3 linked regions of the Callithrix jacchus genome follow. The protein of the gene in region 1 purifies or fractionates together with the protein of each later gene. This does not show direct contact. Links are inferred from orthologs where the notes say so. Each region holds a gene or a part of one and is shown in the gene's direction. Other genes may lie near its edges.

The links.
Region 2: the proteins of RAB5A (region 1) and RABGGTA purify together in Homo sapiens (affinity purification with mass spectrometry; 3 studies listed by BioGRID and IntAct, counting the BioPlex papers as one, with this or other methods). This does not show direct contact. The link is inferred for Callithrix jacchus from reciprocal best matches to the Homo sapiens genes RAB5A and RABGGTA.
Region 3: the proteins of RAB5A (region 1) and CHM purify together in Homo sapiens (affinity purification with mass spectrometry; 3 studies listed by BioGRID and IntAct, counting the BioPlex papers as one, with this or other methods). This does not show direct contact. The link is inferred for Callithrix jacchus from reciprocal best matches to the Homo sapiens genes RAB5A and CHM.

Annotation. Positions count from the first base shown.
Region 1 is NC_133518.1:58,465,298-58,468,850, forward strand, and holds part of RAB5A (ras-related protein Rab-5A), read left to right. Parts: intron 1-683; 5' UTR 684-776; coding exon 777-939; intron 940-3,553. UniProt on the Homo sapiens protein: The small GTPases Rab are key regulators of intracellular membrane trafficking, from the formation of transport vesicles to their fusion with membranes.
Region 2 is NC_133509.1:58,570,484-58,574,685, reverse strand, and holds the start of RABGGTA (geranylgeranyl transferase type-2 subunit alpha), read left to right. Parts: upstream 1-1,383; 5' UTR 1,384-1,811; coding exon 1,812-1,814; intron 1,815-1,979; coding exon 1,980-2,090; intron 2,091-2,466; coding exon 2,467-2,591; intron 2,592-2,781; coding exon 2,782-2,969; intron 2,970-3,206; coding exon 3,207-3,410; intron 3,411-3,736; coding exon 3,737-3,820; intron 3,821-3,905; coding exon 3,906-3,988; intron 3,989-4,076; coding exon 4,077-4,178; intron 4,179-4,202. UniProt on the Homo sapiens protein: Catalyzes the transfer of a geranylgeranyl moiety from geranylgeranyl diphosphate to both cysteines of Rab proteins with the C-terminal sequence -XXCC, -XCXC and -CCXX, such as RAB1A, RAB3A, RAB5A and RAB7A.
Region 3 is NC_133524.1:83,479,772-83,484,106, reverse strand, and holds the start of CHM (rab proteins geranylgeranyltransferase component A 1), read left to right. Parts: upstream 1-1,530; 5' UTR 1,531-1,576; coding exon 1,577-1,591; exon of another isoform or gene 1,592-1,776; intron 1,777-4,335. UniProt on the Homo sapiens protein: Substrate-binding subunit of the Rab geranylgeranyltransferase (GGTase) complex.

The DNA of each region.
Region 1 (3,553 bases):
CCCACCACACAGAAAACAACTGTTAACATTTCTATGTGTGGTATACTTGAGCAGATGAGGAAACAGTTTTAAGTCTTTCCGCCATTAGGCACACAAACCCAGGTGACTGAAAATATTTGTTGTCGAAATTACCATTAAACATTGTTTAACAGAAGACTTTAAGTAATAATAAATTCTTGGATCTGCTCTAAAAGCTTCTCAGTTATTAATAACATAATTTTTCTCAAAAAAAATGTTAACCCAAGTAGCCTGGCTCTAGAACTTGAACTCTTGAGTCATCTCTCAGGTTCCCTGGATTTGAAACTCAGCTCTGTGTCACTTCTGTCACAGTAACTCTGTGACCTCAAGTAAGCTTTTTCACATCTCTGGGCTTGCTTCCTCATTTATAAGGATTGTAATAATATCTCATTTTATAGGATTGTTGAGAAGTTAAGTACTTAAAGTACTGCCTGGCACAAAGTTGAAGCTTTGAGAGGTTAGCCTTAAAAAAAAAAAAAAGTGATTTTGAGCTCAAATCCTATACCTTTAAATTTCCTGTAAAAGATAGTGACCTATTCTAAAGGATGTTGAAGGTCTAGTAGAGCTTAAAATAATCATAATATGCTATAGGCAAAATTTAAAGTGATTAATAGTAAATTTGCTTTACTGATTTGTACATTTACTTCATAATTGTTTCTTTGCAGGTTTCTTTACCTCCAGAAAGAAGAAGATTGACGCCTTGAATTCTGGAACTTCATTGAAGAGTCTGAAATTAGGGATTTATTTCAAATTTGGACATGGCTAATCGAGGTGCAACAAGACCCAACGGGCCAAATACTGGAAATAAAATATGCCAGTTCAAACTAGTACTTCTGGGAGAGTCTGCTGTTGGCAAATCAAGCCTAGTGCTTCGTTTTGTGAAAGGCCAGTTTCATGAATTTCAAGAGAGTACCATTGGAGGTGAGATATTTTTTTTCCCTGCTTCATTTCATCAAATCATACCTTGACAGAAAATATTTTGATGTTCCAATTGTGTGATTATGAATAGCTAAATAAGTCACAGAGTGAAGAAAAGAGTTATTCAGCTGACCTTAAGCTTTAAAACTTGCCTTTATCTTTGTTGAAACGATGTCTTTTTACATTTGATTGTTTGGTTAATTCCATGTGGTTATATTGTAGCTAAAATATAGTTAAAAACATGAGTAGAATTAGTGTTTCAAGTTATAAGATTTGATCTGGTATCTATTTCTTGCTGATAACTAGAAGCTTCTTCAAATTAATACAGTACATATTTGTGCTCAATTATGTTGGCTTGAAATGAATAGTAAAAAAGGTAACCTTAAATTCTGATCTATATAACTGAACTATTTGAATAATTTATACTTGTCAAATTATTTAAATACTGTTAGATGTACTTTTTTTGTTATTTGAAAGATGGGATCTTGCTGTTGTGTAGACTGGAGTGCAGTGTCAGGATCATACCTCACTGCAGACTGCAGCCTGGAACTCTGGGCTCAGATGATCTTCCTGCCTTAGCCTCCCAAGTAGTTGGGCCTACAAGTGCATGCCATCCTGCCAGGAAAGTTTTTTGTTTTGTTTCGTTTTTTTTAAAGAGTCAGAGTATTGCTGTGTTTCCAGGTTGGTCTTGAACTCCTGGCCTCAAGTGAGCCTCCAGCCTCAACCTCCCAGGTAACTCTGGTTACAGGTGCTCCCTGCTAAGACGTACATGTAAGAATGCTCCTAAGCTGAGGGAAGAGAAAAAGCGATTATCGGAAAGGGACATGACAGGAAAATGGAACGTGGAGAAAAAGATGAAAGAAGGGAAAGAGTAGGCACTGCACAAGGTGGTTATGGCGGGACAGAGATGAGGGGAAGGTAAGATGCAGGGCAAAAAGGGGACAACAAACAGTACAGTATTGTCAAGAGAAGACGTGAAGTGCGAAAATTGAATTTTAGCTCGGCATGGTGCTGCATGCCTGTAGTCCCAGGATTATTTTAGCCTAGGAGTTCAAGTCTAGCCTGGGCAACATAATGAGACCCACATCTCTTAAAAAAATACATTAACTTTGATTAAAGAAACCTGTAATTATTTAACACTGGGACAAGATAGCCTCTTTTGTGCCTCTGTTTTGTCTGTGAAATGATGCTTTTCAATAAGATGATGTGTGGGAAGAACTACACAGTTTGAGATTCACAGTATTTTGCATATATATATATATATATATAAACAATGCTGTTTTCCAAGGTATTTATGTATATATTTTAACCCCATATTGCAAAATTAAAGTCACACTTTTGAAGTACATGAGACTGGTAGATACCAACTGGCATGTGGCAACTTCTTAGAATCTTTAAGAAGCAAAATTTTATACTGTGCATTTAGTGAGTGCTCTTAGGCAAATACATTTGAGAATGTTATTCATAAACTTAGACCCATTCTAGTAAGATAATTTACAGAACTCTACTACCTCCTGGCCTTTGTGTGTCTTGTTACAATGTTGTATTAGAATGTTTTGTTTTTTTCTAATGACTGAGTATCAGAAAGCATCATGGAGCTTTTATTTCGAGTCAGAAGTCTTGGCATTTTAAAAAATGTTAATACGTGATATATTAGATACCCTTTGTGGTTTTTTTTTTTTTTTTTTCTGAAGGCACATCCATATGTGATTTTTTTTTTTTTTAGTAAGACAAAAAATTATTTTTTGTTAAAAGTTTTAGTAAAATGTTAAATATTATTTTACTAAAATATTGTTTTACTAATATTTACTAAAAAAACATTTTAGTAATATAATAAAAACTCTGAAGTACTGTAGTATAGAACTTAATTTCTGCAGAGCTTTGCAAGAACTTAAGACTGGAAATTTTATCTTGTTTTGGATAGTCCACTTCTAAGTTTATTTTATTTTAATGATAGCTCAAGAAGGATGTTTAAAGTAAAAGTACAACCCCATATCCAGTGTATCATAAATAATATCTCTGGTATGTGTGTATCTATGTATAATCTCCATTTAACACCAATTAGAGTGTCTAGATTTCATTAATGAATTTTTCGTAGATTTTAATTTCTATGTATAAAGCTTCCTATTTAAAAACAAAGGGGAATTTGCATCCAAATTTCTATTAATCCTTTTTTTTTTGAGACAGGGTCTCTGTTGCCCAGGCTGGAGTGCAGTGGTGCAGGCTTGGCTCACTACAACCTCCATTTCTCAAATTCAAGCAGTTCTTGTGCCTCAGCCCCCAAGTAGCTGGGACTACAGGCGTGCGCCCCCACTCCTGGCTAATTTTTGTATTTTTAGTAGAGATTGTGTTTAACCATGTTGGCCAGGCTGATCTTGAACTAGGTCTCCTTGGAGATCTGCCTGCCTCGGGCTCTCCAAGTGCTAGGATTACAGGCATGAGCCACTGCCCCAGCCCAAATTTCTGTTAATCCTTTTTGGACACTTTTTCATTGTGCTGATCCCATGTTCATACTATTCAGGAGGTATAACAGTACCATTATGATTACAGCTGCGGACACTGTTCTTTTATGTTCTGTGTTCATAGCTCTTCACTTTTAGGCACTAGAGTATATCTA
Region 2 (4,202 bases), on another chromosome or scaffold:
TTGAGTTAAATATTTTTTCTTTGTTCTGTGGAGTTCAAAAAGTTAAATCTTAGAGATAAACAGGAGTTACTGTGGCAAAGGAGGGGCACAGAGAAAGGAGAGTGAAGAAGAGGGAAGAGGCTAACATTTAGGGAACTGCATGTATTTCTGTAGGCTGTCATGAAGAGTTTTTAGCAGGGTCAGCAGGACGTAGGACCAGAGAGTAGGCAGAGCCCAAACGCCAAAAGGTCTGATGTGCTAGGCTGAGAGATTACAATTCTGTCCTGAAAAGGAGCCACTCAGGGCTTTTAGGCAGAGATATAACATCAAATCTGCATTTTAGAAAGACTGATTCAGCAGCACAGAGGAGGTACTGATAACACAAGGGACGCAGTGGAAGACACTGAAAAGACCTTCAACAATCTGGAAAAGAAATTTGAAGTTTGAACTCTTAAAGGCAGTGGAAATAGAGAGTATTTAAGCGAGTTTAAGAAGTGGGGAGGAAATAGTGCCATTCGCTACAATAGAAAACATAAAGGCCAATGTTGAGACAGGATGGATGAGAGACAATTTATACCTTTTGGCTTTTGGAGTTTGAGGTGTCTCTGGAACACTCAGGTGAAATGCAATAGGTGTTTGAATATGTATGTGCATGTATATTATTTATTGTTATTTAAGCTTCCAAGACATCTGGGCTGGAGATATAATTTTGGGTGTCATCAACTTATAGGTAGTAATTAAAACAATGAGTGTGGATGATGTCACCCAGAGAAAGTGTGATGCCAGATTTGTGGGCCAAAAGAGAGAGCTCTGCAGAACTCCAACTCTAAGCAGTTGAAGACTTAGATTTAAACATTCTCCCAGTAACAGTGTATGCAGTGGAAAAGGGGTGAGGAAAGGGCCCTGGAGATCACCACATTTAGGGGAGCAGGTGAACAGATGAGAAGAGAGAGGCAGACGTGCGGGATGAGAAGCCAGAATGGGAGTGCCAAGTGTAAAGAAGTGGGTAGGGTCAAATGCTTCAGAGGTAAGAGAAAATGACAGGGAGTTCAACTCCACCTGTTAGATTTAACTTCTAGAAGGTTGTCGGTGTGGCCAGGGTAAGGTCAGTGGAGTAGTGAAGGTGTGGGTTTCCAGCCATTGGAAAACCTTTTCCACTAACTACACTGCACTTTGAGTTACCAACCAGCATGGTCCGCCCCCATTTCACATGCACGCTACAGTCGCACGAGCGCACTCGTACACACCAGGTGGCTAATAGGTACAAGCGTGTCCTGACACCGAGCGCAGAGCCCCCGCGCACGCGCCTCCGAGCCGCCTCCTCCGCCGCAGGCCCTTCCCCAAGCCTGCAGAGGGCGCTGCGCTTCGGTGAGCCGGGACGTGGCGCCGCTCTAGCCAGCTCCTGGGCTCTGTAGCGGGCGCCGCAGCTCTGCGTCCCCCGCGCCTCCTCCCAGCGCAGGTGGGTCCGCCCGCGGGGGGCGGGGGTGCCCGGGAGCCGTGGGATGGGCGGGTAGCGGCAACCTTTGGGGCGCAGAGTGGTCTCCATCGCCTAGGTGTCCCGGCTGGGGCTTTGGCCGTGGCGAATCCAGCTATGGGAAGGGCCACACGGATGGAAGTCCTAGTCCGGGTATTCGCCTCTTCCTGAATGTGCAACACCTGTCCCAGGACCTCTTTACACCCTCGGGGTCTCTGCCCAGGCACGCTTGCTGCTTCCGGGACACAGCTGAGGGCGGAGCTAGTAGGGGCGGGGCTACGTGATTGACACCTCTCTCCTCAGACTTCCAAGGGCTGCTACTGGACCCTTACCCTGTCTTGAACCCTGAGCCGGCACCATGGTGAGAACCCTGAGCCCCGCCCTTCACCTCCGCAGGCCCGTGCCCTCACCCCGAGTGGCTGTGCCTTGGTTGCCCCGCATGAACCTGGGGCTCCACAGTGTGGAGTTTTTGCAGGTCAGCTCCTGCAAGGCAAACTGCACTCTTCCAACCCGTTCATCCTTGTAGCACGGACGCCTGAAGGTGAAGACGTCAGAAGAGCAGGCGGAGGCCAAAAGGCTAGAGCGAGAGCAGAAGCTGAAGCTGTACCAGTCAGCCACCCAAGCCGTATTCCAGAAGGTGGGGCCCTCAGAGGTAGCCCCAACCCCAGGAGGCTACCTCAGTATAGTACACAGGTCAAGAGCTGGTCCCTAGAGTCAGACTGCCTGGATCCAATTCTGGGTTCTCTCACTTATAACTATATGACCTTGGACAAGTTGCTGAATCGCTGGGCCTCAGTTTGCTCCTCTGTAAAATGGAGCTAATAATTGTACCTACTGCATAAGGCTGTTGTGAAAATTAAATGAGAGAATACTTGTAAAGCCATAAAGCATGGTTCATAGTACCTGTTGTATAGTGTGGGATTCACAGAATATTGGGTGGTTCTATATTTATGTTATTTAGTCCTGTAGTGGGCAAATGGTATGATCTCTGACCCTGCTACCTGTCTTCTCAGCGCCAGGCTGGTGAGCTGGATGAGTCAGTGCTGGAACTGACAAGCCAGATTCTGGGAGCCAACCCTGATTTTGCCACCCTCTGGAACTGCCGACGAGAAGTGCTCCAGCAGCTGGAGACTCAGAAGTGCGTAGGGGTTCAGGGTCTTAGAAGACTGCCCTGGCCCTGCACCTGCAGTGCCTGGGTCCAGGGGTGGAGGAGAAATGTGGCAGCCAGTGGCATAGATGGAGGACAGTAGGGGGCTGGGTACAGAAAGTGAGGGGTGAGCTGAGGTTGAGTGTAGGAAAGCCCTGACCCTGCTTCCCCTTGGGTGCAGGTCTCCTGAGGAATTGGCTGCTCTGGTGAAGGCAGAACTGGGCTTCCTGGAGAGCTGCCTACGGGTGAACCCCAAGTCTTATGGTACCTGGCACCACCGAAGCTGGCTGCTCGGCCGCCTGCCTGAGCCCAACTGGGCCCGGGAGCTGGAACTGTGTGCCCGCTTCCTGGAGGTCGATGAGCGGAACTGTACGTTCCTGTAGATTCTGTCCCCACAGTCTTCACCTGCCCACATTCTGGTGCTGGAGCCTCATTAAGGCCCAGAATGGGGATGGATATCCAGGATGGGTCCACTGAGCTGGTGCTGAAAGGGATGATGGAGTCAAATGCATCCTCTGTGAAGTGCACTGAGGTGTTTCTAGGGGTTCCAGCCAGGTAGCTCCTCTTGCCCTGCTTCTAATATACGCTGTCACCTCTCCCCTCCAGTTCACTGCTGGGACTATCGGCGTTTTGTGGCCTCACAGGCAGCAGTGCCCCCTGCAGAAGAGCTAGCCTTCACTGACAGCCTCATCACCCGAAACTTCTCCAACTACTCTTCCTGGCATTACCGTTCCTGCCTCTTGCCCCAGCTGCACCCCCAGCCAGATTCTGAACCACAGGGACGCCTCCCTGAGGATGTGCTGCTCAAAGGTAAGCAGGGTCAGGGGTGCTCGGGAGGACTCTGCAGTGCCACCCTTCCAGCCCCCATGCCTGACCCTATTCCTGAACCTGTCACTCGGATTTATTGAGCACCTACTTCATGCCTGGCTCCATGAGTGCCTAAGACTCAGTCCCTGGCTGCAGAGAGCTCAAGTGTCTGATGGGGAAGATAAAATTGACATATGCAGCCCCTGTGCAAGGACAGCATATAAGTGAGACTGGGGGTTGGAAGTACTCCAAGGAGAGAGTAGGGTGTTGAAGTGGCCAGGAGCCAACCATTGGCCTAACCACAGCCCATGCCTCCCGGAACCCCACAGAGCTGGAGCTGGTGCAGAATGCCTTCTTCACTGACCCCAATGATCAGAGTGCCTGGTTCTATCACCGTTGGCTCCTAGGCCGAGGTGAGCAATGAGGAAAGGGGCTGGGTATTTAGGGCTTGATAGGAGTGGGAGAGGGTTTAAGATCTGATGCTGTGTTTCCCCGTAGCTGACCCCCAGGATGCACTGCGCTGCCTACATGTGAGCCGGGATGAGGCCTGTCTGACTGTCTCCTTCTCTCGGCCCCTCCTAGTGAGTCCTGCAGCTTTTGTCAAGAGCACTGTGGGATTGTGGGCCTGGTGCTGTTGGGGCTGAAGTCTCTCTTTGTCCCTTGTACCAGGTAGGCTCCAGAACGGAGACCTTGCTGCTCATGGTTGATGAGTCTCCCCTGATTGTGGAGTGGAGGACCCCAGATGGCAGGAACCGGCCCAACCATGTCTGGGTATCCCAGGATTGGTGGGGCAGA
Region 3 (4,335 bases), on another chromosome or scaffold:
CGTCAAAGCAGTATGGCAGGTTAAGGCAGAGTCTAGCACCATGTAGGGAAACAGCCCACACACGGAGATGAAAGGATGAGGGGGTGGAAGCCCAACGATATCTTCAGAATAACTGTTAGCTAGTGAATGGGAAGATCGTTCCGTGCTGAAAGAACAGCATGAGGGTGGTGAATGAGACTGGAAAGAAAACAATGTCTGGAGAACCATTAGCATCTTAGAGGACAGGTGGTGTTAGGGAAGGCCCACTATTGCACTCTATCTTTGATTTATTTTGAAACTCTTGTAAAATAACTAAACAAAAAATTTCTGTCATCAAAAAAGTATCCTTCATTCCCAGCATCACTTCCCTTTTGCTTTGGTGTTGTCAGACAGCGGAGTGTTTTTAAATAATCGGGAGCAGGGAGGATGGAGGGGAGCGGTGGGAGGCGACAAACCTTTAAGATACTTATGAGAACTATGTTAGCTGTTAGGCATAGACGACCTAAAGCCCCTCATCAAATACAATCACTTTAATATAAACGCCATTTTACCTTAATCATTTCTACGGTAGCTTATGGAAACTAATAGATTGGAAACTAAATGAAACTAAAGAGAATCTTACATGAACTTGTCTAGTTCGCGTGGAAAATCAAATTCAGACTCAACAAACGCTTATCCAGGACAACTATGCTCTCGTATATTTTTTCCCTCCTGTAAAGCAAGGCTAATCTATTGCCCAAGCGGGTGTTTGGACTAATTAGAACAAATACGGACGCGGTGAGAGCTTCATTCTGGCGAAACTAGGGTGAGAGGATTTTCGTGGGTTTTCATTGAGGAGACATGGAAACTAAAAAGATATGGAATATAGTTAGAAAGTATTGGTGTGAAAAACTGTGCCTCGAGGGCCAACATGAAATACAGATACGATGGCGGGAAACAGGTTTTTAGGCTGGAATGAAAATCTCCTTTGTTCACAGAGCAAACTCTTTTCAATTTCACTCCCCTCTCCGTGGTGTCTTCACAATTCTTGCCTCAGTATTGTCAACCGGTATCCAAGTCTCCCACACTCATCCTGGCTAACGGAATAAAAATCTACATCTCTTTTCTATTTCCAGGCTAAATGAGCTACCGCACTCAGCCTGGAAAATGAGTCGAGCTTTTAACTTAAGTGTAAACGTTTTAATACTGTAGTCGCCTACCTGGACCTTCCACCCAAGAACTACAACACCCAGAATGCATTGTTTTCCTTTCCGCCTTCTACCGAGGGAATGCCTAACTTGATCTCACTTCCACAAGTAATAGTCACATGACACGTTTCCCGTCAAGATGGCGGATACTCTCCCCTCGGAGTTTGATGTAATCGTAATAGGGACGGGTATGTGTATCCTGGTACTTACCGGACAAAGTTTAGGAAGACTGTCTTGTTCGTACTTTTTCTGTCAGTGGCGAGTTTTGGGAGAAACGTCTTGGGTCGAGCGTGGGAGGGAGAACGGAAAGGAAGTGAGGTAGTCCGGAGTCAGCGCGGGACTTGGCGGCTACAGGGAGGGGCTTGGACCCGCGGTGCTTATCGCCATTTGAGTAGGGGTTGATCTGGTAGATGTCGATTGCTGAGGTTGGTTGCTGAGGTGATTCCTGTTAATTTCCTTAGAGGGAAGTGGATGTGCAGTGTCATGAAATGGAGGGTCGGGATTTTATCAACGGAGACGATTTTGGCATGACATTATGATTCCCTCCTGTTGATTTCGAGGTGACATTCCCCATCATTTTGTCTCGCCATTTCATAGGACGTTTTCATAGGTTTGTATGATCCTACGGTACATCGCAGCTCAGACACAGCTTCATCCTCAGTTTTACAAGAAAGATGCTCAATTATTGTCCACGTGCGTATGAATTTACTAGGGAAAGCAAACGGATTCTATTGTGTTGAGAAACCTAGGGAATTATATTTTGTTGAGGTAGCCATTATTCCTGCTTTATGGTGCTTAAAGCATCTTGCTTTCTACCACCCATAACTGAATGTGCTGAGAACAAGGTCCTGAGTTCCAGTTCAGGTGTTTGACCTTATCTAACTCTTGTTTTCCCGTCGTTTGTTCTTCATGTTTTGGGTGGAACCAGAAATTCCTCTGCAATTTCTAGTTCACATATTAAATATACAACACGTGGCAGAAGACATGGCAGCAATTGGATTTTTTTTTAAAATAGTGTAATGGATGATCGTTTTAGATGGGATGAAATAGGTTGTTTGGTGGGGTTTTCTACTGTTTGTAGAAAGGTAGGCCAGAGAAGCTCTAGTGGATGGGACCCTGTCCATTGTGTTAATGAATTCAGTTCGTTGTCTTCTCAAACAGCCATGATTAGGAGCAGCCATGTTTTCAGATTGGGAGTAAAAATCATAGCTACCTGTTTCGAATGCCTAAAATTTCCTAATCACTGTGCTAAGCACTTTACAAGCTGGACATAATCCTCACAGCCTTGTTAGAGTAGTAGGTACTTTCTACATTTTGTGGATGAAGAAAAGGGGACTTGGAAAGGGAATTTGCTCAGGATCACACAGCTGGCAAATTTCCAAAGGCCCATTCCATCCCAGAAAAACAGTCAGTGGTTCTGACCCTCAGAGTTGACCCATATTAGTAGAAATGAGAAAACTTGGTTTTAGGCTTTGCTTAGTGCTAGTGTGAATTACTTGAATTGGGAGGGCCAGGTACTTAATCTCTCTGAGCCTCAGTTTCCTTGTTTTTGAATATAGGGAAGGTAAATTAGATGGTCTGTATGTTGTCTAGCAAAAAATGCCTGGGTAACAGTTCTCAGAACAGCACGGACATGTTTCTTCTTAGCCTGAAAATATCTGCATGGCTGCAAATAACCTGGTTGTGGTTGCTATGAACAGATGTTGGATGAGAGCTGGAAAGAGCCAATGGATGATTCATTTTTTTCTTTCCAGTCTATACTAAAACTGAGAACAACATCCATTTTGGAATAGTTGTTATACCATACTTGAGTTTTATATTCTTGCTTTTTTTTTTTTTTTGGTTACCTAGGAACTTGAGGTGTTTTTAACAATTTTTTTAATCAACAGTTTTTTTTTTCAGGTCTGGGTTCAAATTGTAATTGATGTTTGTTCTTATTATGAAGTGCTGCTAATGCTTTTCATAAATATTTCGCCTTCTGTACAGTTCAGAATTGGAATATATCTATTCTGTTAGAATCTGTTATGGTAGAGGTAGGAAGTTACAGTGAGTGACCCAGAAAATTGCATCAGGAGACGTAGCTTATATTTGGAAAAAGACTTATTTTATACTTGTCTCAGTCAGTGCAATGTTATTTTTCAGTGTTTGGGAAGAACTTGTTTGAAGTTAGTCTTAAAACTTAAATTTTTCATATTGTTTATTGGTGACATTCCAGGTTTTATCAAGCACATTGCTTAAATTGCTTAAATTTATGATGTGTAATTTTGTTTTTAGGTACATCAGAAGTGTAAAAATTGAATAAAAGAGTCATTTCCCAAATAAATGATCCCAACCATTCCAATCATTGCTCAATTGGATTTATTTTTTACTGTGCTTGGAATATTTCTTTTGTGAAATAGTTTGCTGAAAGTAGCCTTTAAAATATTTGATTTATTAAATGTACTACCTTGAGTAAATCATAGAAAAAGCAGTGTTTCATAGATTCAGTTGCATTAACAAAAGCAGAAGCAATAATGCATGCATCAGAAATATGAAGAAATAGGCTATTAGATGTCCTTTTTAGCAGATTTAGTTCTAATTAAAATATCATAAAGGGACAATTGCTTCATCAAGTATAATCACGTGAAGACAATATTCTATAATCCCTTTTACCTTGATTAACTTGTATTCTCATTTTCTATAATACAAGATGGAAACTTTTCCTTAAGATCATATTTTCAGGAGATTATGGGAAAAAAAAACTTTGTATTTTCTTAGTTAAGCCCATCTCCTTCTGATTAGAAAATACAGTAAATATGTCTTGAACACCCAAAGATAGAAGAGTAAGATAAAATGAATTCTGAAAAAAATAGAAGAAAATGGAATAAAGAAGGAGAAGCCAATGGAGTCTCAAGGGAGAGGATAAATAGATGTATGTGGTAAGTGTCTAGAAAGTGGTCCTCAGCTTGGGTACAGAATTGTCATTTTCAGTGTATTTTGCCATGTAAAAAGTCATTTAAGTGACAGCTTTGTGGATTATAGACAAGTACCATTGGTTTCAGGTTAAAAATAGTCCCAGTAACAGAACATCTTACTGGAGGTGACTTATCTGGCAACCTGTGTAATCTGCAGCACAGCAGAGCCAAGAACTCAGCAGAAGAGCAGGCAAGATGGAAATTACAAGATCTGT